2 linked regions of the Alligator mississippiensis genome follow. The protein of the gene in region 1 purifies or fractionates together with the protein of each later gene. This does not show direct contact. Links are inferred from orthologs where the notes say so. Each region holds a gene or a part of one and is shown on either strand. Other genes may lie near its edges.

Region 1 (10,414 bases):
TTTAGCATGAATGGATAGACAATTTATATAGTAAGCCTTCTATACATTGTGCACTTTGCTTCACACAGTTCTGGCTTATGAATAAACAGAAGCAAACATTATCAAGACTACACAGGACACGCTGTCCTGTTTTAGCATACATTTTTTGAGCAACACAGTATCATTAGCAAGGTTGGCTATAAAGGGTAAATGAAAAAAAACCCTGCACGATTAACAAAAAAAAGTGGAACAAATTAACATCTTGCCCCGAAGTCTTTCACTTCTGCATCAAGGTATCAGGTCTGGTCTTAGCTGGAAGAGAACAATGATTTGAAAACTAGTGAAAAGGTGGCATTACAGAAGTCAAGAATTATATTCTTGATTCCTCACTTACGTGGGGAAATTTGCCTTGATTAAAGATAGCAGTACAAAACAGAGAAGGGATGGAATGCATCTATATCCGAGTTATTTGGAAACAGTAAGTAGTGTTTACAAGTAGTGAGTACTACTAACTTTGGATGAAGTAAGTCTTTATTAAAAAAAAAATGAAGACATCTTTGTCCCATCAATGAGTATTAGAGCCCAGAAACAACCTTCAGACCCACAGAGATCTTCCAGTGACACAAGAAAAGACCAGACAATATCCCTAAGTTTAGGAAACACCCTTATGGATTCCTGGCAGGCCCTTTGAATGCATGTACATGCATTCATGTTAGAAGTTAAAAAGGTTAAAAGTAACAACTTGAACCAGTGACAAAGGGTGGAGAGAAATTCTCTTCTATTGAATTTCATTTACATGTGTCAGGTGTGCAAAGTATAGCAGTTTTCCTCAAGCCTTTTTCGTAATTTAGAACAAGGGAAAGAAAAACAGTCAAAACCAAAAGCAACATACAGTTCTAAAAACCAACCTGTCCAGGACAACTCAGAGTTCAGGTGCAATATATTAGAAGTAACTTCAAATTCCCTGGTGAAACAGCTATTCCTTATTAAACAAACATAAGAAGTTGAACTGAGCTAAAACGGTATGTTTACACAGCACTTAACAATGGTATTCATTGACTTATGGGGCTCACAATGCAAAGACTGGCAAATAACAAAAAATATTGAAAATACTGAAAATATTGTAGACAGAAAGCACAGCAGAGACACCAAAGGAAGAGACTGTTTCCAGCCATAGGAGACTGACCAAGAGCACAGAAGTCAAAGATGGGAGAAGTACAGCAAGAAATGAGAGAGAAGAGCAGAGATGCAGATAGTGCAAGGAGGTGATGGCTGGTAAGCTTGGCTTTGAGAATTTCAGCAAAAATGTTTTGAATAGAACGGAAAGAGTAGTGTAAAAAAGTGAATGAGGATGGTGCATAGTAGTCAGAGTTAAAATTTTCAATGCATGGGCTCAGAAGAAAGGACAAATGGTCTGAAAAGAAGCAGCAGTAGGAACTGGCCAGAGACTCGTGAAAGGAGTACACAGAAAAGTTTCAAGATCTTTAAAATTTCTCTTGGTCATCTCCCAATAAGTTAGGGGTTGTCTTGCTTACAGCCAATAGCAAACAGAAGCATGCTAACTTTTCCCTGTACATTGACCTGATCATCACCAATTTGATAAATTTAAGAGAATTTTCACACTAAAAAGATCTTATTAATAACCAGGGCAGTCAACAGATCCCATACACTGCAACTCCTGCCAAGACACCAAGCCATTGTTGATAAATTACTAGTGATGGCAACTGAGACCATCCTCCACTCAACTTCAATCACTTTTTCTGCAATTATACTGGGCAGGGATCCACCTGTTTAAAACTAGGTATTAAAACCTCTTTGCTATTGCCCAAGGGAAAAATTGATGCCAAAAGACAGCTGCCAAACACATTATATTCCCCAACATACAAAGCACTCTCAAGATGCACATTCAGAGCTTTCTAAGCCACTCTCTTTCAAAGAGTTCATATTTTTCTACAGAAAAAATTAAGAGCAAAATGGAAGCATTTCCAAAAGTGGAACAAGAAGGTAAGATACCAAAGAAGAGATGCAAGTCAGTTTAGAGTCAGGTGGAACAATTTCCTCCTGTGAAGTCATTTATTTCTCCTAACCCTTTTCAAAACTAAAGTTCCCAGAAAAAGTTTCCCAGATACCTGGAAAAACTAAGTAATTCATTATGTTGATAGGCTTTCTGTAGGTCTGCTATCTATATCTGCCTGCTCTGTCAATCAGGACTGAATTAAGAGGTTTTACATCCCGTACAATCCTAAAAAAGCAAGTACACAAAAAATAAGCTGGTGTAACCAGTTCCTATACCACCCTCCAGAAACAAGAGGGAGGGGTGTGGTCCAAGATGCTGTGGTCCAGCTAGCCTCACCTAGTGAATACTCCATTGGGGACCATCAACAACAGGTTTCCTTGGGTCTAACTGGTTCACTGTGACCACCCTCTTTCCCAACCTGAACTTGACACAGCAGATGATCCGGTCTACTTAATCCCACTTCTTGCTGGATGAAGGCCAAGTAAGAGGAATTCACTGATGACTCGGGTCACAATCAGCAGTAAAAGAGCAATGAAACGAAGTGGAGTGATCCTCAAATCATTTTCACATAATATAGGAACAGGCACTGAAGATGTTGAAACAACCATGATTCATCACAAATATGGTATTAGCCTTAATTCAGTGAATTGGGATGGAAATATCACTCAATTTCTCCTTCAAAAAGAGTCAACTCAACTACGATTGAGTTGGGAAGTTGGGAGGAACTACTTTCCTTTCAAAGGAAAGTAGTTTTCAAGAAGCAGATGGCCAAGTATAACCACTGACAATGATGCAGGAAAAGACAAACCTGTCCGGGTCTGGAATAGAGGTTAAAAATTTATCAAAAACCCAAACTCAGCATACAGACAAAATAGGTCTCTCCCAAACTCCTAATTAAATAAAAAGCTTCTAACCACATACTCTCCAAGCAGTTTTGCACAATGGTTCTGTTCAGTTGCACAAAGCTGTTTTAACCAATGCATAAGTTTACACAAAGATAGCAACACCAGTGTCAGAACAGTAAATACTGGTTCAGTGCACAGCTGCTTACAGAATCCATGTCTCTGTGCAGTCTCACCTGGGTCATCAAGACCCCTCTATGAAAAAGAAGAGAAAAAAAAAAAAGAGAGAAGTATTCAACTCGTAGGGAGAGGGGAACACCCCCCAGAAGCTGTACTCCTCTCAACTACGCATGGGGGGGGATAGATACGCACAGCCATTCTCTACATAACCTTGATGTGGAACCGCCAGTACTAAACAGAGGAGTCTCTGATATTTCCTTAAGAGGTGAGCTTTGGGCAGATCTTCTCGACAACGCCTGGACCCTTCCCAGCCTCACCATTTCTCACAGTGCTTTATAACTCCAAGGTCTTAGGTCACCTGTGCTCTTCCATCCACACCAACTCCAGACATCCTCAGCCTTCAGAAGGGTATTTATCCCCAAAAGCTTGCAAAGAAGAATTTTCCCAACTACTTGAGTTGGTCTAAATAAAAGAAAATCAGACTGACACAAAGAACCTTGTCTGCTTGTGTCCTTAGACCAACCCGCACCCTCAAGTCACCTGAAGGCTCACCGAGGAGCTGGACAACGTCCCAAATCGAGGGATTGCCAACAACGACGCAGCAAGCTCCGAACAAGCGTCACTGACGTTTGCCCGACGTGCCTTACACGGTCCCTGGGTTAGAACCGTTTCTAACTCCAGTGAACCACGGGGCCGGCAGAGGACGCGATCAAACCCTCCCCGCCACTGTCCTGGAGCGGAGAACGGGGAGATACTTACCTCTCCTTTCTTACTTCCAAGACGCATTTAGCGGCAGATACTTACCTCTGGTATCTTACTCCCGAGATACGTTTAGAGAGACCCGTGCAGAGCACGGACAGGACCAGCCCAGGCTGGAGCGAGTTGGCAACTCTGACCCTATTCCAGGAGGTTTCATCACACGATGGCGGGACATGACGGACTTCACGTCAGGAAGGCAAACGCAGTCACTATCACATTTCAAAACCCCACCGGCCCGCTGCATAAATCCAATTCAACACCGAACGTTTGTTTGAACACAGGCCCCATCGTCGATCTCCTAAGGGGATAGTTTCTCAGCCTGTGGTACGCGCACCCCTGGGGTACACGGGTACCCCAGCGCTCTCTCACCCCTTCCTCCTCTCAAAACCACGGCAAAAAATTCGGCACGCCGCACACGGCACGGCGCTTTGAAATCCCCAGGAATAACCTAGCGTTCGTCCCTCCTAGCTGTGGCCAACATCCCCTCTAGCCCAGGCACGTCGAGTCGCGCACCCCTAGGGTAAGAGGTGGCAGCCTTCGTATCACCCACCGACCCACGCTGCATCGGACACCCGTCGTGTCACGACCGCAGCCCTTCTTCCGACGCGTGGCACACGTCACTCTGCAAAGATACCCCCCCCCGGAAAGCTGAGTGGGGGGTAGGCATTAAAAGGCCACCCACCTTCCTCGCTGATGTCGTCCACGAAGTCCTCGGGGTCGCTGAAGGAGATGTCATCCTCCTCCTCTTCTTCCTCCTCCTCCTCCTGCTCCTTCTTCTCCTCCTGCTGCTCCGGGGACGGCTCGGCCTCGGCCTCAGTGCTGGGCTCCGGCTCCTCCGCCTCGGCCTCCTCCTCGGATTCTACCTTGGGCGTTTCCTCGGCTGCGGTCTTCTCCTCGGCGGGCGCGGGCGGCTGTTCCTCCTCCTCCTCCTCAGGGCTGAGGCGGCCGGGCAGCCCATCGGCGGCGGGCGGGTGCTCCGGGGACCCGGGCGGCGCCTCAGCCTCAGCCTCGACCTCCTCCTCCTCCTCCTGCTGCTGCTCCAGCGGGAGCGGCGCGCCCGGCTGCTCGGGCTCCTCGGCGGGCGCCGGGCTCTCCTCGGCCTCCTGCATGGACGGGTCGCTGCTGGGCCGCGCTGCGGAAAGAAAGGGGGAGGGGCAGCGCTGCGCACGGGCCATGTGCGCGACTCCCGGCGGCCACCGCGACGCGGCACGCACCAACTCCCGCGGGAGGGGAAAGCGGATTGTTAGGGGTTTTTTTATTTTGATTCACTCGAATCTCAACACACCGCCTCCTATGCACGTGGAAGGTAATACTTGATCTCTAGTTACACCTCCATTCTCCTTTTTCTCTTCCCTTCCGTAGCAGCTTTTATTCCTGCCCTGCAGGGGTGTGTCCTCCCCACCCCTATTTCATTCGACATCTTGGTTCATTCCAGCATGGCGGCCTCTTCCCTTCACCCGCCTAAGGTGGGGTCCGACTGAACCATCTTTGAGTGGAAAGGGGGGGTTGGTGGTACCTGCGCATTTCCCCCCTGCGTAGATCCAAAGGGAAGGTTGGGTCCCTCCGTCTATTTAAATGCCAGTGGTGGCGTGAAGGCGGCTGTACAGAGTTTAGGACACGGATTGATGTCCCACCAATTCTGTGCGATGGGTTCGTCCAAAGGCGAGGGGTGGTGGGATTGAGTGTGTGGGCGCTACCACCTTCATCAAAGGGGGGGTGCACAAGGACAATTCGAAGGTGGTAGGGTCCGCCACATCAGCCTAGCCTGCAGTCTCGTGGTCGGAAAGGGGCTGCCTCCCCTCCAGGTGGCCATGACACTAGAGGCAAAGCACAAGCCTGAAGTGCTCAGCAGTAGGGACGTGCTGGGCTGTTTGTGTCCAGGGGCCAGTGATCCAGCCCCATCTGGAAGGGCTTCAGATAATTCATAGGACAGCAGCTCTAATCTAGCCAGACCCTAAAGGGCTTTCGTAGCTCTGCACCCACATGGGGCCCAGCCCCTAGCGCAAAGGGCACAGAGACATGCACGGTTCTTTGGGTAAATCTGATGTCTTTTATTAGACCAACTCAATAGTTGGAAAAACTCTTCTTTGCAAGCTTTTGAAGACAAACGCCCATCTTCAGGTGAAAAAAAGAAGGGTGTTTTCACTCAAAAGCTTGCAAAGAAGAATTTTTCCAACTTTTTTTAAGGTCTTTTTTTTGTGTCCCAAGTCAAGTCAGCCAAATTGATTCCAAATGGGCTTCAGATGCAGGTATCGTACATGCAGGCCCAATCCTGGAGGCTTGGGGTTTGGAGGCCTTCAAGTTTCGCTTGCCCTCAGCCGTATGGCGGCAGGAGCAAGCTAGGGAAGAGCCTCCCATTTCCATAAAGTTGGTGTGTAGCCAAGATCTTCCCATTAGGAGTAAAAGTGCGAGGCTAGCTGCGCTACAAGGTACTACTCCCTGCCATGTTGGTCTAATTAAAGATATCACATTTACCCAAACAAGCTTGTCTGCCTACGTCCTTAGACCAACATGACTACAACCAACACCTCCAAGGGCACAGAGAGGCACTTCAGAAGCAATGGAAATGGGATCCAGCACTTCTTTGCCTGTAGCTCAGCAGTGCATCAGTAGCTGAGATATCTGCTGACCCTCTAACTGGTGCAGTGAGAGATACCAACTCCCTCAAAACTATTTAGGATTTAGAGGGATGTCATCCACTTGATGGGTGGTCACATTCAAAAAAGAGTAAAAGTGCAGCTACACTGACCCTCCGCCAGTTTGTGATTTGACAATAGCATTTCCCTCTCTGTCAGAAATTGTCCATCTTTCCACGTCACTGCCAAGGGAGGCTGACTGGTGATATGAGTATTTAGGAGAAACGGTGAAAGGATTCTGCCACAGTCATAAAAGAACAGGAAAGCAAGAGCAATATGTTCTCAAAACTCTTTAAGCCTTGCATATCATTTTAACATCACTGTGATTTCTATAGTGAGGGTGTCCATTTATTTTCCATGTTGGCTACTGAGGTGACAAATAAGTGACTTTCCTAGAACTTGTGGGTCCCTCACCTGCTTAGTGCCACTACAGGTCTGAGGCCAAAAGAAAAAAATAAACATTTTAAAAGGTCCTGTAGTGACACTGTGTGCCATATGCAAGGTCAGTCCACATGTGTATAATTGCCAAGCCACACGATAGCATCCTCGGTGGCTGTGTGCAGTTCCTGTAGTCCACCACTGAACTTAGTGGGCAATCATCAACAATATGCAACACGGCATGTGTTGTGCCACAGTTATAGTCTGGATTGTTGTGAAGACCCCAGTGGTGGAGGTTGGCTGCACACAGACCTTGCCCAGTCTGCAACCTATTCAGCAAGGCCCACTGACAGCATGGCAGATTGGAGCCAGATGGCAGACTGTAACATCTGGGACAAGGAACTGTCACAGCCTGGGGTAGTGCCAGACTTGATGCTGTCCAAAACTTCACTCAATTCAAGAACTGTGAAGGGTTCTGGAGGGGTTCTGGTCTGCGGCATCTGGTGAAAAGTTCTTCATTGCTTTTGGAGGCAGCTTTTCACTCCTTTTTCCAGCGGCGCTCTTGCTACATGAAGTAGGTGGCTGGCTACTTGGTTAGGTGCCATGAGAGGGTGACCTGGTGTTGATGGCTGATGAGCCACTCCAAAATGACAAAGTAGACTCCAACACTTCCAGATGGAATGGGTGAAGTCCAGCTTCTCAGTCATTTCCTCCTATCAAGCTCGGTGAGCTGCTTCCAATGATTCGATCAAGTGATTGGCGACATCTGGGTTGGCAGCTGACTCATACTGCTTTAGCAGGGTGACACACTTGGGATCAAAGCAGGGAGGATAGACTGGGCAGCAGCCACATGGAATGGCCCACAGGCTGCTTTATAAATGGTGCCACAGGGATGACTATAGGCCTCTTCTACCTGAATGCTCTGGGTCGGTATTGTCACATTGCTTCATTCCAATGACTTGCTATACTTCTCCTAATTAGTCTTACAGAAGTTCCACCCTTCTTAGAGCTTTTGAAGATTGGAAGCTGGAGTCTGATGTGGACCAGAGATGGCCTGTGCAGGAAGTTGTCCAAGACCTGGCAAGATGCTGGCTGATGTGCAAAATAACAAATGTAAAGCAGGATGTGAAAAAAGTCTTTGACTTGGTTGTGGATACTATTTTGATTCTGCAATGGACTTGTCTACACAGAGAAATGGCTCGGAATAGTCATTCTGCAGTCACTCCCCATGAGGATTCTCATGTTCTACATCAGTGGAGGCCAACCTTTTTGGCGGGCATATCACAAATTAGCCCTGTGCCCTCCTCAAGTGCCACTCTGATTACTCCTCCCCCAGCCTGATCTGTTGCTCTGTTTTCTGTTCCCAACTCTATCTGCTGCTGTGCTGCCTGTCCCTTCCCTAATCAGCTGTGTGCTACACAGAGGCTGCCTGTGCCACATGTTGTACGCGTGTTGGATGTTGGCCACCCCTTTTTTACTCTAGCAGTTGGTTTTTGGTCCACTTTGGAAATGGAGTTAGCCACATAGTAAAAAGGTATTCTGCAGATTAAGAAAACCCATACAAAGAGTTAATGCTGATGTCAGACCCTATCTTATTTTGCAATCACTTCTGTATGTGGATAATCCTTTGGGGGAAGAAATCGGAAGAATAAAGCAAGGAAAATCCAGCTTTGTAATTTTGTAAATTAGTCACAAGATGTCACCCTAACTCCATTCAAATCCAATTAACTGCTTATTTACTTGCAGTTGCATGTTTACATGTAAGTTCTTAGAGAAAGGTTAACTTTTTTCTCTGAAGTGGGAGATCAGATACTTCAGTATCTTCCAGCTAAATCATTATGGTAGGTTTGATTAACAAGACTTTGATTTTCTAGTTTGCAGCAATAAGCTAACTGAAAGTACCTGGAACAAAGTTTTGCTCCTTTCAGACTGACCCGTGCTCCTTCAATAACCACTCAAGTTACCATAAATACATGACTCTGCTTTCTTCTCTTTGCCTCTATAGTTTGTTCTTGGAGATCTTTTCATTTATAATAGCTATTCTTACTTTCAATTTCTCTCTTTTTTTTTCCCTTTCTGGTATAAATGTTCCTCACTTATCTGCCTCAAGGATTCACTCTGGTTTTCATTGTGTCTCTTTCCATCCTTAGCAACATTAGGATGGCGTGGGACAGCTCCTTATACCTAGATTTCAAGTGCTATCAGCTGGAGGTGATTCTGTAAGAGCTCTGATTTGAAGTGCTTGTAACAAAATTAGTTACAGGGATGGAAAGGTTTGCAAGAAATGGGCTCTTGGAATCCAGCTGTCAAAATACAAATGTCAAGGAGCTCTAAGCGTTTTAATAAAGTATATATTATCTAAGGCTGTCACAACTGAAACTACTGATTCCTGTTTGTGGCTCTGTTGCAGCAAAAAGATACAGAGAAGTTCACGCTTTTTGAAGCCTATGTGGCATTTCAGTTCTTGGACTCACACCAATGGACTCCTTCAGTGACTGAAGCCTTGATTAACATTGTACCCTTTATATCAGCAGCATTGAGCCCCCATTCTCTCTTTCTCTTCTAGTAATTATTATTACTTATGTTACAGCACAGTTCAGAAGTGTCTTATCCACCAAACGTACTTCCTCTTATTGCTGTGTTTATAGTAAAAGTGGGACTGGGTCAATGGCTTATACTAAATCAAATCTTTTTTACCTTACTAAAAACTATTTCTGCAGTTGGATTAAGTTTTTCCACAATATTTTTCTGTGTGACTGTGTGTGGAATATAAAAAGCAATTCTTAAAGAAGAGGGTATATTTATACAAGAACATAAGAAGGGTTTATTAAACCAAGTACACTTCAGTGGTGTCAAACGTAGTTTTCTGTATTCATTTTGTTTACCAATTGTATGCACATAAAAATATATCCAGAACAGTGAGTAGGGCCTGGTTTGCAGACATACTGGACACCCATAACTCCCTGATCCTTTCCTCTCTACAGGTAAGGGAGCAAAGAGCCTATCCACTCAGATAAACTCCTTCTGTCCCTACCACTCCATGCAGAAAAAAGGGCTGGAGGACAGCTCAGATAATGCCAGGAGGAGGAAAAGGAGAATCCGTGAGTCACTCAGATCTTTGTGGGTGTGGAAGCAGTCTGAAAAATTTCAAGGGAAAGGAGTTCAAATTTACTGTGGCCTAAAGCAGGTCTTACTTTGTAAAGTAACCATCTGTTACTCTGTATGTACAATGCTATCTCTATTGTAGAATATTATCTCATGTTCTACCTTTCAGAAGGTCAGTTAATATAATGAAGATGAATTAATGTACATACAGTACCTAACAATGCTAAGTATTTATTATTATAGGCAGAAGGTAGGTCACGGTGGCACCTTAAAGGCTAAAGGCATTCAGAGACGCATACGTTTTCATAGGTAACAGCCTACTTCATCAGATGCTGTTGCCTACAAAAGCTTATGCCTCTGAATGAGTTAGCACTCTAAGGTGCCACCCTACCCTGCCTTCTACCTGACTTCAGACTAACACAGCTAAGTACTATAACAGGTAGGTAGCCTTGTATTTCATAAAAATGGCCAATGTTATATTCCCTGCTTGTTTGCCTTTGCTTTCAGGAAAACTATTG
Region 2 (11,097 bases), about 49 Mb from region 1:
CGGCAGCTGCTTGGAGGAAGGAAAGCCGGATCTTCATTTCTCTCTCTCCTGCAGCTTTTAGGGAAATCCGCAGATGGTTTAATTCTCAAGGTCTTCTGTCTCTGAATCGCGCCAGTTAGTTGTTTCCCAGCCATGCTGAGAGGGAGGAAGCACCTAGTAATATTTCTTCCCAGCAAAAGTTTAAAGAGGTAGATAATTGCAGCTTTTGCTAGATGTCTTAACTGGAGACAGCCACAGTTCTAATGGCTTGTGAGAATACCAGCAAAGGGCTCCAATCTCTCCCTGTATGAACTTTTTCTTCACTTCCTCAGCAGTAATTAGCAACCCCATGCTGCTGCTTCCCATGACTGAAAAGAGCAGGAGGAAAACCTGAAACATTCTCAGTGCATTATTTATCACCAGGTGCCACAATTACATGTGCCACCTCTTGTCTCACCTAAAAATACAGCCACTGCAAAGGACTCCAAGGCAATGGTGTTTGCTAGGAGGTGCTATGGCGACTCTCCCAAGGATTTGGGCACAAACCTCTTTTTGGGGGTTTTGGGGGGTTGGTTGTTTGTTTCCCTCTCCATCTTGTTCTTGTAGCTCCCTCACTTTGTAAACTTTCTCAATCCGCATTTTTTGCATCTTTTTACCTTGATGCCTGCGTTGCCTCTTTAGGGTTGGCAGCAGAAGTATTTTATAAGTGGAAAGGCCACAGGCTGTCAAAGGAAATTGGCTAGAATAACTATAGCTGTTTCTACAGCTAAATGTGTGTCCTTGCTGCAAATGGAAAGTGACTAGGACTAACAAATTTCCTTTGTATCCCTTCCTAGTGAGCTGGCAAGGATTTTCAGTCCTAGTCAGTTTAATTTTCACCCAGCTCCTTGAGAAGAGCTTGAGATAGATGAGAATTCACTAACCTTAGTCATTTTCCTTTTGCAAGATCTTTACGCTGGAGCATGGATGACTGGTGCAATAAAAACAGATGGCTGGAAACAGAAACCGAATAGCACGCTAGTCATCTTCCCTTTGTTGCTGACTCTTGTGATTTTTATTTTATTTTTTTATGCCATGTAATCTTTGTCTTTTGTTGTGGTGTTCCTGTAGATAGCGCCTCTATTCTGGTCCGAGTAAGGCAGGAATCGCTTTTTACTGGTGATACGCATGGCTTCTCAAAAGAACTGCAGCACAGTTAACAGCAGCTTTTCTCCTGAGATCTAGCTGTGCCTACGTTCAGTTAAAAATACACTAGTACTAGACTTCTTTATATGGGTCTTTTCTGATGTGACACATCTCCTAAAGCTGACCCTGTGCAGTTAGCAATCCATCTGAGATGCAATCTGTCTGGGGTTGTTGGTTGTAGCCATGTTGGTCTAAAGACGTAGGCCAGCAAGGTTCTTTATGTAGTTGCATCTTTTTATTAGACCAACTAAACAGTTGGACAAAAGTTATTTACAAGTTTTCAAGCACAACCACGTCTTTTTTTTTTTTTTTTTTTTTTTTCAGGCATTTGGAGACTCTGCATCTATCTGGGATCATTTTATGGCTTCCATCTACACTTGTATGTGAATGCCTTCATAATCTTTAATGTCTTTCTTCTTGCATCACCCTCTCGGGTATAGAAATAGCATTAACCCCATTTTACAGATCAGGACCTGAGCTACAAAACGATTAAGGCCTACCATATACTAGAGGAGATCTGTCCACTGTACTTGGACCTCTGGCAAACCCTCCTAGTGTATATGTAGTTTACAAAGGCCAAAAAGTGCTGCTGCTGTCACTATTTCTTGTACCAGTTCACTGAGCAACACCAGTGCAAGTGCTAGTTTTTGCTAGCATTACTGTGTCCACACTAGAGCCTTTGCTGTTTGTTGGGTTTTTTGTTGTTTTTTTTACTTGCAATTAATGGTTTTTGCTCACCAAATAATTTTTGCTCAAAGTCACCCATTGTGAATTGTATCCAAGTTTCCAGCTAGCTAATGCACAGTCCTTGTCTCATTATACACAGGACTGGATCAAATAAAACTGACAATGGAAAAATGTATTAAAAATATCTACTTCTCTCTCTCTTATTGAATGCTGCTCTGAGCTTCACCCCAGATAAATAGAGCACTGGTCCTGTGAGAAATGTAGAGGGCAAGCAGCCCTCCCTGCGTGTTCTTTTTTTTTATCCTATTTTCTCTCTGCAGGGCTAGAGTACCAAGGAATTAGCAAGTCCTGTGCTCCCGAAATTACCGTTCTTCAACTAAAGTATTGTCCTCCCCAGAGACTCAACCATGTCAGATCAGCTCTGTGAGCCTTATCAAGGTGAGAATCTGCACTGCAATGCCTATGGCTTTGAACAGGGAGCAGGTGATCAAACCTAGACCCTAAAAAGTGGAATTGGTTTCCACTGCAGCAGCAGCTATCTCTCCCTCAGATAAAACCACCTGAAAAGCTGTCAAAAACACAGTAATCCTTGAAATACTGGGAAGTGGTGTTTCAATGGGGGGGAGGCTATAACAATGTGAATATATTAGCTAGATGTGCATTTATTTTATAACAAGAGTTTTCCACTTTACAAGTCATGTTCATTATTTTCTTCTTTTAAATATATTTTTATTATAAATCATCTTTCATAAATTTACAGCTGCACAAAAGGCACAGTTCTGCACACAGTATAAGCAATGTAATTATCCCTCAGAAATTTGAAGAGATTTATAAGGAATACTAATGGCCTCATTCTAGGGAATGCATTTTAAATTCTTTCATTATCAGGTTTCAACCTGTCCTGAAATGCTGGTTGTGTCAAATGCAGTACGCATCTAGTGGACCAAAGGAAGCTGGTAAACCCTTTCTCGGATGTGCAGGAACCGTTCCGGTACTGAATAAAAAAAGCCTTGTGCTGGCTCTACCAGCATTTAGTGGCTAGAAAACTGACAGATCTAGTCCCTGGGGGATTTTGCCACAATGGTCAGATGCCACAGGTGGCAGGGAGCTGATGTAATGGGTCTGTGCTAACTTATGGTGTAAAGAATACTAGTAGCCTTCACGCACAAAAGTTATGGTGTGGCAGGAGTCCTGCAGTGTCTGTAAAGGCCCACCTGTTGGGCAGAGGTAACGGAAAAACTTAACATTTTCCTGAAGCGGCTCAAACCTACTTGGGGTGGGGGCCGCTATCCATCTTTGGGAGTAGGCATGTTCATCGGTAAAGCGACCTTTACCCTGTCCTGAACTTAACGCAGGACCTGAAGCTCAAGAGCAGACTCCAATTGTTCATTATTTTTCCAGAAAGGACCAGGCTTAATGGGCCTGGCTCTAAGATGTTGATTACTAGTAACTCCTGTTGGTTTAAACAGAAGTTGAGGGTGCTCAGCACCCCCTCAAGATCGGATCTGATAAAATAATAGGATGTAGGGCTTGAAGGGACCTGAAGAGATCATGTAATCCTACCCCTTGCTCAAGGGAGGATTGCCCCTGTCTAGACCAGCCCAGACAAGTGCTTGTTTAACCTATACTTAAAAAACCAAACAAACTGAGAACCCACTATGTCTCTAAAGTAGATGATGTGTTCCAATATTTAGTCACCCTCAAATTTTAGAGAATATTTCCTACTACCCAACCTAAATGTCCCATGTCAAAACTTCAGCTTGTTACTAGCCCTGTGCAAAACGGCTAGTACTCGTTTCGGATATGGCCGATTCAGGGGACAGTGATTTGATTCGGCCGAATCTGATTCGGAGCCCTTTTTCTTAAAGGGCTGGATCTGGCCTGGGCGGGGCACCTGTGTGGGGGCTGGGGAAGCGAGGGGGAGATGGGGCGGGGGGGGGGGGGGCAGTGGGGATCGGGGGCAGGGGTCCCTTGATTCGATTCAGAGATTCGGCTGCCGAATCTCCTCCGGATCAAATCGCCACCTGAAGCTTCGCACAGCCCTACTTGTTACTACTTCTGTCCCCTGTAGAAGCAAGCAAGTTATCACATCCTAACAACCCTTTTTATATTTTAAGACTTTTTCAAATCCCACCTCCCCTTGCATCAATTTTCTCTTTTCCATACTCAATTCTTCCAAACTTTCATGTTATGTCTTGTAGACCTCTTAACTTTCCGCTCCTCCCTACCCTGTTCTGGGACATTGTCCAGTTTGTTCAAATCTTTCTTGAAGTACAACAGCCAGCTGAAAGAACCATTCTTATTTTATCTCATTTCTTTTGGAAAGAGAGATGGGAAATAGTGTAAGGACTTATTACTTTGCATCACATCTCTCACCTGAGAGTCCCAGAATCTGCTGTGTGTGTGTGTGGCTGGACTGGAATGAAACCACAATGGAACAGGAGCTGTGTGGAGGAAGAGGAGGCATGTTGGTTTCTACCTCTTTAGGGAGAAGGTGCCCAAGTGCACGTGGAGTGCTAGGGACAGCTACAACACTGCTGGTTCTTTTAATGCATGGCAGGATGCTGGCCATAACACTGGAGACTCCAGACATCTAGGTCAGTCGTTCTCAACCTTTTTAGTCTCAAGGCACCCTACGGAAAATGCCAGCTCTTAGCATTCACATGCCTTTTTACTATGGAAAAATAATAGAGTGATTCTTCTGTGTGCAAAGAACTTGGGCAGTCCATAACAGGGCAGACTGTTTGTTTGTCATGATCTGAATTCTCTGGGTTTATCATGTGAATTGTGTTTGCACATCTAGCAGGGCTAACGTCGTGCAGCAGTCTGCAACATGCCCTCAAGGCACCCTGGCTGAAAATCAGGCTGAATGTCAGCTCTGTGGGTGTGGGACCCCCTCTCTGAGTGAGCCCTGCAGCACTGACCCTCTCCTGGGGTAGACCAACTACTGGGGCTGCTGCAGGAGGGGGTGGGGGTTTTCCCCCGCCCCCAGCAATTTGACCCCTTTTTGGGAAGGGCAGGAAGAGGCCAGCAGGCTGGAGCAGCTCCTGTGTAAGCAAAGGGACAGCTTCTGCATATCTCCTCCCTTCCTCAGAGCAGCACTGGGCCTGGAAACGGTGGAAGAGGCCAGTGGCATCTGCAAGTGGTCCCCAATCGCCGTTCACCACCCACTGACGGTGTCTGTGGACGGTCTTTGCTCACCATGGCTGTCTCACACCACCGTTGGCAGCTGCAGACAGTCCCTGCTCGCTGCCATGGTGCCCCCCGATTTAGGGAGGCAGCAGTCGTTCATGCTCCGTAGTGAGCGATTAACAACGGGGGCCCAGCCAGGAGCAGGGGAAGGTAAGTGGGCCCTAGCCTGGCTGGGTGGTGGGAGGATTGGAGCCGGGGGGGCTACCGCCCCATCTCTTGGGGGTGCAGTACAGCCTGGAGTGACCTTTATTTTCAAAAAGTGATCTTCCCCATAAAAAGTTTGGAGACCGCTGCCCTAAGCTATGTCCAGTTTAAGAGGCCCCCTACGATAAAAAATAATCCATGAAAATGGATTTTCATGAAATTTTAAGATGAACGATGGTCACAAACTCTTCCTTTCAAGGTTTTCTTTCGTTGAGTGGAGAGAAAAATGTTGCACTGTATCCCACAAGTGTCGCCGCCTCCCTATTCGCCTGATATGGCCCCTGCGCCCCTCAACGAGAGGAAACTTTGGGAGGTTTTGTGACGTGGAAACCCTACAACACAACGTGACTGAGCGGCTCTTAGCAATTCCAGCTTGCTGATCCGACGCGCTCCCAACGATGGCAGAAACGCTGGGAGAAGCGCGCGGCTGCAGAAGGAGTGTACTTCAAAGGAGATTAAGCCAAAACCCCTGTGAACACGAATGCTGCGTGGCCCAGGGGAGATGGGGACTGCCCACGGGTGGCGGCAGCGGTGCTGTCTACGGACACCGCTGGCAGTGCCCGTGGTGGTGGGTGGGAGTGGTGAGCAGTGACTGCCGGCAGTGTCGGTGGCACTTTTTTGCAGGGGGTGCACGTGCACCCATATGCATCCCCTCTAAATTAAATATTTTGTTCCCTAGAGCATGCGTCTGGATTACTTTTTGAGTAGCCCTTGTACTTTTCTCACATAAGAACAAAAATATCCATTTTTTGTGTCTTTTTGGAGAGGAAAGGGGAGCCCCTCAGCTGCAGGTTGAGGGGGGGGGGGGGGGGAGAGGAGAGGACCCTGAGGAGACTCCTGCCAGGTGAGCGCCTCGGCTCCTTCCGGAAGACGCCGAGGGAAGCCGAGCGTTTCCGAAGCTGCTCGGCACCGGCGCCCGAAGCTGCCCGAAGGGCGGGCCAAGCCGAGCGCGTCCGGAAAGGGCCGAGGCGGGCCGAGCCGAGCGGCTCCGGAGAGGCCCGAGCGCCCGCCCTGCCGGAGTGCTGGAGGCGGCCGCGGCGCCATGTTTGATGCTCCGCTGCTCCAGTGAGGAGAATCCGCCGGCATCGCCCCGCAGCCGCCACCGCCGAGGGCGCCGCTGCCCCCGGGGAGGGGGCCCGACACCCTCCGCCGCCGCCGGCGGCCCATGAGCAGCGCGGCCTGAGCGGCGGCGCCCGCCCGCCCGCCCGAGGCGCGTTGTCACGGAGACCGGCCGGTGGTGCTGGCCCGCCGGGCTGCCCCTGCCCCCGCCGCCGCGGCCCGGCTCCCCCCCGGCCCCGCTCCCCGCCGGGGGGTGGTGGCTGCGCGTGGCCATGAGTGTCCCGCAGAAGGCGGCTCTGAAGCCCGGCTCGGCGGCGGCGGGCAGCGGGGCGGCGGCGGCGGCGCCGGGGCCGCCTCCCCCCGCGGCTCCCCCTCACCCGGCGGCCGCGGGGGCGCCTCCTCCGCACCCCGCCATCCGGGCCTTGCCGCCCCAGCCGCCCCAACAGTATCCTTTGCCGGCTCGGCCCCTCGCCCAGCGGCGCCCCCTGCCCGGGGGTGCCGCGGGCTGCACCTGTTGTGGGGCGGGGTGGGCCGCGCGTGTCCCCCTCCCCGAGGGCCGGCGGCGGGCGCAGGGAGCAGCCCTGCCTGCCCCCCTCTCCCTGGAGGTAAGTGGCTGCCTCCAGCCAAGTTTTGGATACCGAGGATGATTTTTGCCGTGGGTGTTTTGGGGGGCGGGCGGAGGAAGCCGTCTCCGGTGCGAAACCCAGAGCCCGGCGAAGGTTTTTAAAGGTCTTCCGCTCTTCGCAACTAGGCCCGGAGTCGGGACGTGCGCGCCGCCGAGACCGGCAGGGAAGTGGAGCGGAGCCGGTCTGCGCGCGCCGTGCCGTGGGGCTCCGGCATCTCCCGGCGATTTTTCAGAAGTTTTGGGAGAAACTCTTCCCCCGGGAAAATGACTCCGTGCGTGGCGCCGAGAGAACGTAGCCGCCGGGTCTCCCGCTGGAAACGCGGGGTGACCCCGGGGCGATGCTTCGTACCGGCGGCGGCGATGCTTTCGAGGCGATAAACGCGCAAGACGTCTTTCTCGTGCGGTCGTACCGTCCAGCGAGCTCGCTGCATGTGTGTAGGCGCGTATGACGCTTCTCTTGCGGTGAATGGCAGGCTTGTTGCTCTCGCTCGCGTCTCGAGGCGGGAGGAACAAACCCTTCTGTAAATCGTCCGGCTCCTTGTGTTGAACTTCCAGTGAAATACGCGTTTGTTGTTGCCGTCATACATGTTTTGCTTAAATTGACACTGGAGATTTGTTTGTTTAGGTCAAAGTGAAGTCTGCAGAGGCTGGAGAAGATTGGTAATGGGAGGCTGAGTCTCTTTCTCGCTTAGTAATTGGGCTAACTTGCTAAAAGTTTTCAAAGTTCTTGCTTTTGAATGCTTGGAATAGCGTACGCTCATCTTCTTAAGCAAGCATGGCAGTGGCAGGTAAAACTTGCTCAGGGGGAGCTTGCTTAGCTTTGAGCCGTGTGCCAAGTGTTACAGCGGGGAAGCTGGCTGGCTTGCACAGAGTAAGTCAGTGCTCGGCCGATCCGCCCAGAAGGTACTGGACTGTCCGATTCCGTTGAACGTTCTGTTTGGTATACAACACCTTTGTGTGTTGACAGTTAAATGGCTTCTGCGTGCCTGGATCTGGGAACCGGAGAGAGAGACTTTTCAAAGCACTCCTCTTAGGTAATCCCTGAAAGCATCTTGGAGGGATTTGAATACTTTTCTGTGAATGCTAGCTTCTGCGGACTGCAAGACTGGCATGTACTGTAAAGATTGAAACAGAAAATGCCATCACATATGTCAGTTCTTTAGTGCAGTTTAACAGATATACTTTGCCTGCGTCAGGGGAGGACACTGACTGTCTTTTGAAGGCAGCCTAAAAAATTCCCAGTCTGTGGACTTGGTTCCTTCACGAAGGAGCTAGTTATGATATTGCAGCATTTCACGTTGTGGCTGTAATTAGGTACTAAGATCAAGATGCCTAAAAGGAAGGGAAACGAGGTCAGTTTCAAAGGTGTGTGAACTTGAAGAAAGACCAGCGCTTTCTAATTGTAAGCGACTAGTTTGTGACCTTGTGCTTCTGAATCTAAATGATTTCAGTGATTCAAGCTTTAAAGCCGTAACCATCCTTGTGATCATGTATGGATGCTCCATTCCCATTTCCTTTAACTCCAGTCTATTCAAATGTCTTGGCTGTTTTTGCTTTCTGCTAACATCTGGAAGTATATGTAAATAGTAATGAAAGCTGTTACCTTTTATAAATCTTAATGCAAATTTGAATCTCTGAGTATTTTGAGAGGGAAATTCATTAGAAATGTACTGAAATGCACAGGTCATCCAAGTTCATCCTTATTTTCAGTGCTGTTTTTTTTTTTAATGTTATATGACATCAAGGCAGCATTTCCTTACAGCAGATAAGCTACAGCATCAGTATACTGCAGGGTCCTTGTGTTTTCTCTCCAAGGCAGTACAGGGATTTATTTGTTGATGCAAATATCCAGCATGTTTTGTGTTGATCGAATTGTTGAAGCTCCAGATCAGGCTTGCAAAGCTAAAACTCTGTTTACTAGGGTTTATTCTGTGTCCTTGTGTCTTCAGAAATATGTGCATCTCTAATTTATTATATTAATTGAATGGGCATAGTCTATCAGTATGCTTGAGCAGGAAAAACTCGAGAAAACGAAGGAGAGCTGATACCCATCTGGTCCACATGTATTTGTGGAAAAGAAATAAATGAGATATGATAGGAAGAATATAGTGCTGGAGGAGAGGGGAACGTGCTGGTGCGTTTTCTTTTGTTTTTTTTTTCTTTTCTCCTTTAAAGGAAAGTGAAACTGGAAAGTGACAAAAAAAAAAAAAATTAGAAACCCAGTGACACTTCTCTTGTTGTGTAGCCTGCTAAATAGGAAGTTATGGTGACGACAGCAAGAAAAATGAGCTTTGTAAAAGATCCTTCTCGTATGATGGTTTAAAAAGTTATTTTCCTGTCAAAGTCACATGAAATCCATTTTGTAGGTTCAATAGAGGCAGGTGGCAACTGAAACCCAAATTCAGACGAGTGATATTCTCTTGGAAAACTTTCAATCTGGGCAAAGCACCTGTAGCATACCTGTCTCACTGGAAAGTAATGTCATTCTTTGTATGGAAGAAATAAAACCAGTTTTCTAGCTCTGGCTCTGGCTTGCGAACTGTTGCTGAGGAATCTGATCCAGTTTAACACTGTTATTCCATAGTAACACTCTTGAAGTGAAGCTATAAAATAAGAAAGGTGTACACTGGACCATGGAGCTCTGCCTTTCTGCTCAATAGAACTTGTAAAGTATATTTAAACTACAAGCGTTTCCTTTCCAACTCGCTCTCAGGCTCTTGCTTATAACAAGAATGGGTTTTAAGAGCGCTTTTGTCATACACTTATAATAAACTACTTTTTTAAAGACTTCAAAAAAGTTATGTGCTGTGGAGTAAGTATTGCTGATGTGATGAATATTATTAAGTCATCCATTTCTTCACAGCATCAGTCTGCACATCAGCAAATAGCACATTATAAAGGACAAACAGATTGCTGGCTCTTCAGGGTTAACTGAACATTGTACCTTGCAGCCAACTTAGAGCTCCCCTTATTGTGGGGATAGGTTCCTTTTCTTTCATTTCTTTTCAGACTTACTTGTATTTGGAGCCAGTTCAACTTCCTGATAACTGATGGTTTCAAAGCAGGCTACAATAAACATGACCTTAATTTATCACCTAAACTGTTGCAGAGTTAAACTAGGCACATCTCAGCATGTGCATTTTTCAGGGCTTTTGGAGCAAGGCAACCACATCAGATTCAGGATGTGTTGTACAACCTTGGTTATGCAAATACTGGGCTTTATTTTTTTTTTCTATTTGATTTTATCGCTATAGAAAAGCCTCTAGGTATTTGAGCTTGGGTAAAGCTGGAGAAGGGAGGAGGATCTGTTTTATGATTTTTGTATAGAGCATATATCTGCAAGAGCTTCCTGGATGAATTAGAAAAGTTGCTAGTCAACTTCAGGGAATCATCTTTTCTGTCTGCATATATAAGTGCAGTTCATTCAAAAAAAATTCTAGGAGATTTTCTCTGACCTCTGGGGACCTGTTCCACAGCCAGTCCTCCTAAAAAAAGAATGTTCTGTCTGTGGCACGTATGCATATGCGAGTGGCATGTTCCAGAAAAGAGTGGGTTTTTGCAGGGGGTGGGGGTGCATGGTAGGTAGAGTTGTGGTCTTTGATGCGACTTACCTGGTACTGGGTTTGAAGATCAGGACATAGTCCTTGAGCTGATGATTGAAGGTGCTTGGAATGCAGAAGGATCAGAACATCACGTTGCCTGGAAACAAGGGCTTCTCTACCTCTGTGCCGTCTTCTGTGTTAATATTTTAAAACAGATGGATTTTAATATTTCTGCAACCAAAAATTAAAATTTATTTCTTAATGACAGAAAGACTTCTGAGTTGATAATGAAGACCTGATGTCCTTTCCTAAATTTGAGAGAGGGGCATGGGATGCAGCATTGAAACATTTCACATCCTTTTTCCTTCATTAGCTTGTGACCTTTTAATCACTTGAGACTTCATATCAAATGGAATAAAACTTGATGCGACTCTGCTGGATAAGAAGATTATTATGGGTGTATTGCCCCAACCAGACTTTGGAAATGCAAGAAGTAGTTTTAACTAAAAACACGTCCTCATCCTTGCTGGGTTCATATTTGTTTGTGTGCAGTGTTTGTGTTTTTGAAGCGCACAGGATGGTGTTGTTTTGTTTCTTGTGTTTGTTTTTAAGAGTTGGTCTGGC

The links. Proteins that work in one complex are often made in the same cells at the same time.
Region 2: the proteins of EIF3B (region 1) and EIF4G3 purify together in Homo sapiens (affinity purification with mass spectrometry; 3 studies listed by BioGRID and IntAct, with this or other methods). This does not show direct contact. The link is inferred for Alligator mississippiensis from reciprocal best matches to the Homo sapiens genes EIF3B and EIF4G3.

Annotation. Positions count from the first base shown.
Region 1 is NC_081836.1:51,166,007-51,176,420, reverse strand, and holds the start of EIF3B (eukaryotic translation initiation factor 3 subunit B), read right to left. Parts: upstream 4,915-10,414; 5' UTR 4,887-4,914; coding exon 4,460-4,886; intron 1-4,459. Other genes in the region: SNX8 (sorting nexin-8), read left to right, coding at 9,832-9,892.
Region 2 is NC_081836.1:2,548,438-2,559,534, forward strand, and holds the start of EIF4G3 (eukaryotic translation initiation factor 4 gamma 3), read left to right. Parts: upstream 1-6,283; 5' UTR 6,284-6,578; coding exon 6,579-6,751; intron 6,752-11,097. UniProt on the Homo sapiens protein: Component of the protein complex eIF4F, which is involved in the recognition of the mRNA cap, ATP-dependent unwinding of 5'-terminal secondary structure and recruitment of mRNA to the ribosome. Functional homolog of EIF4G1.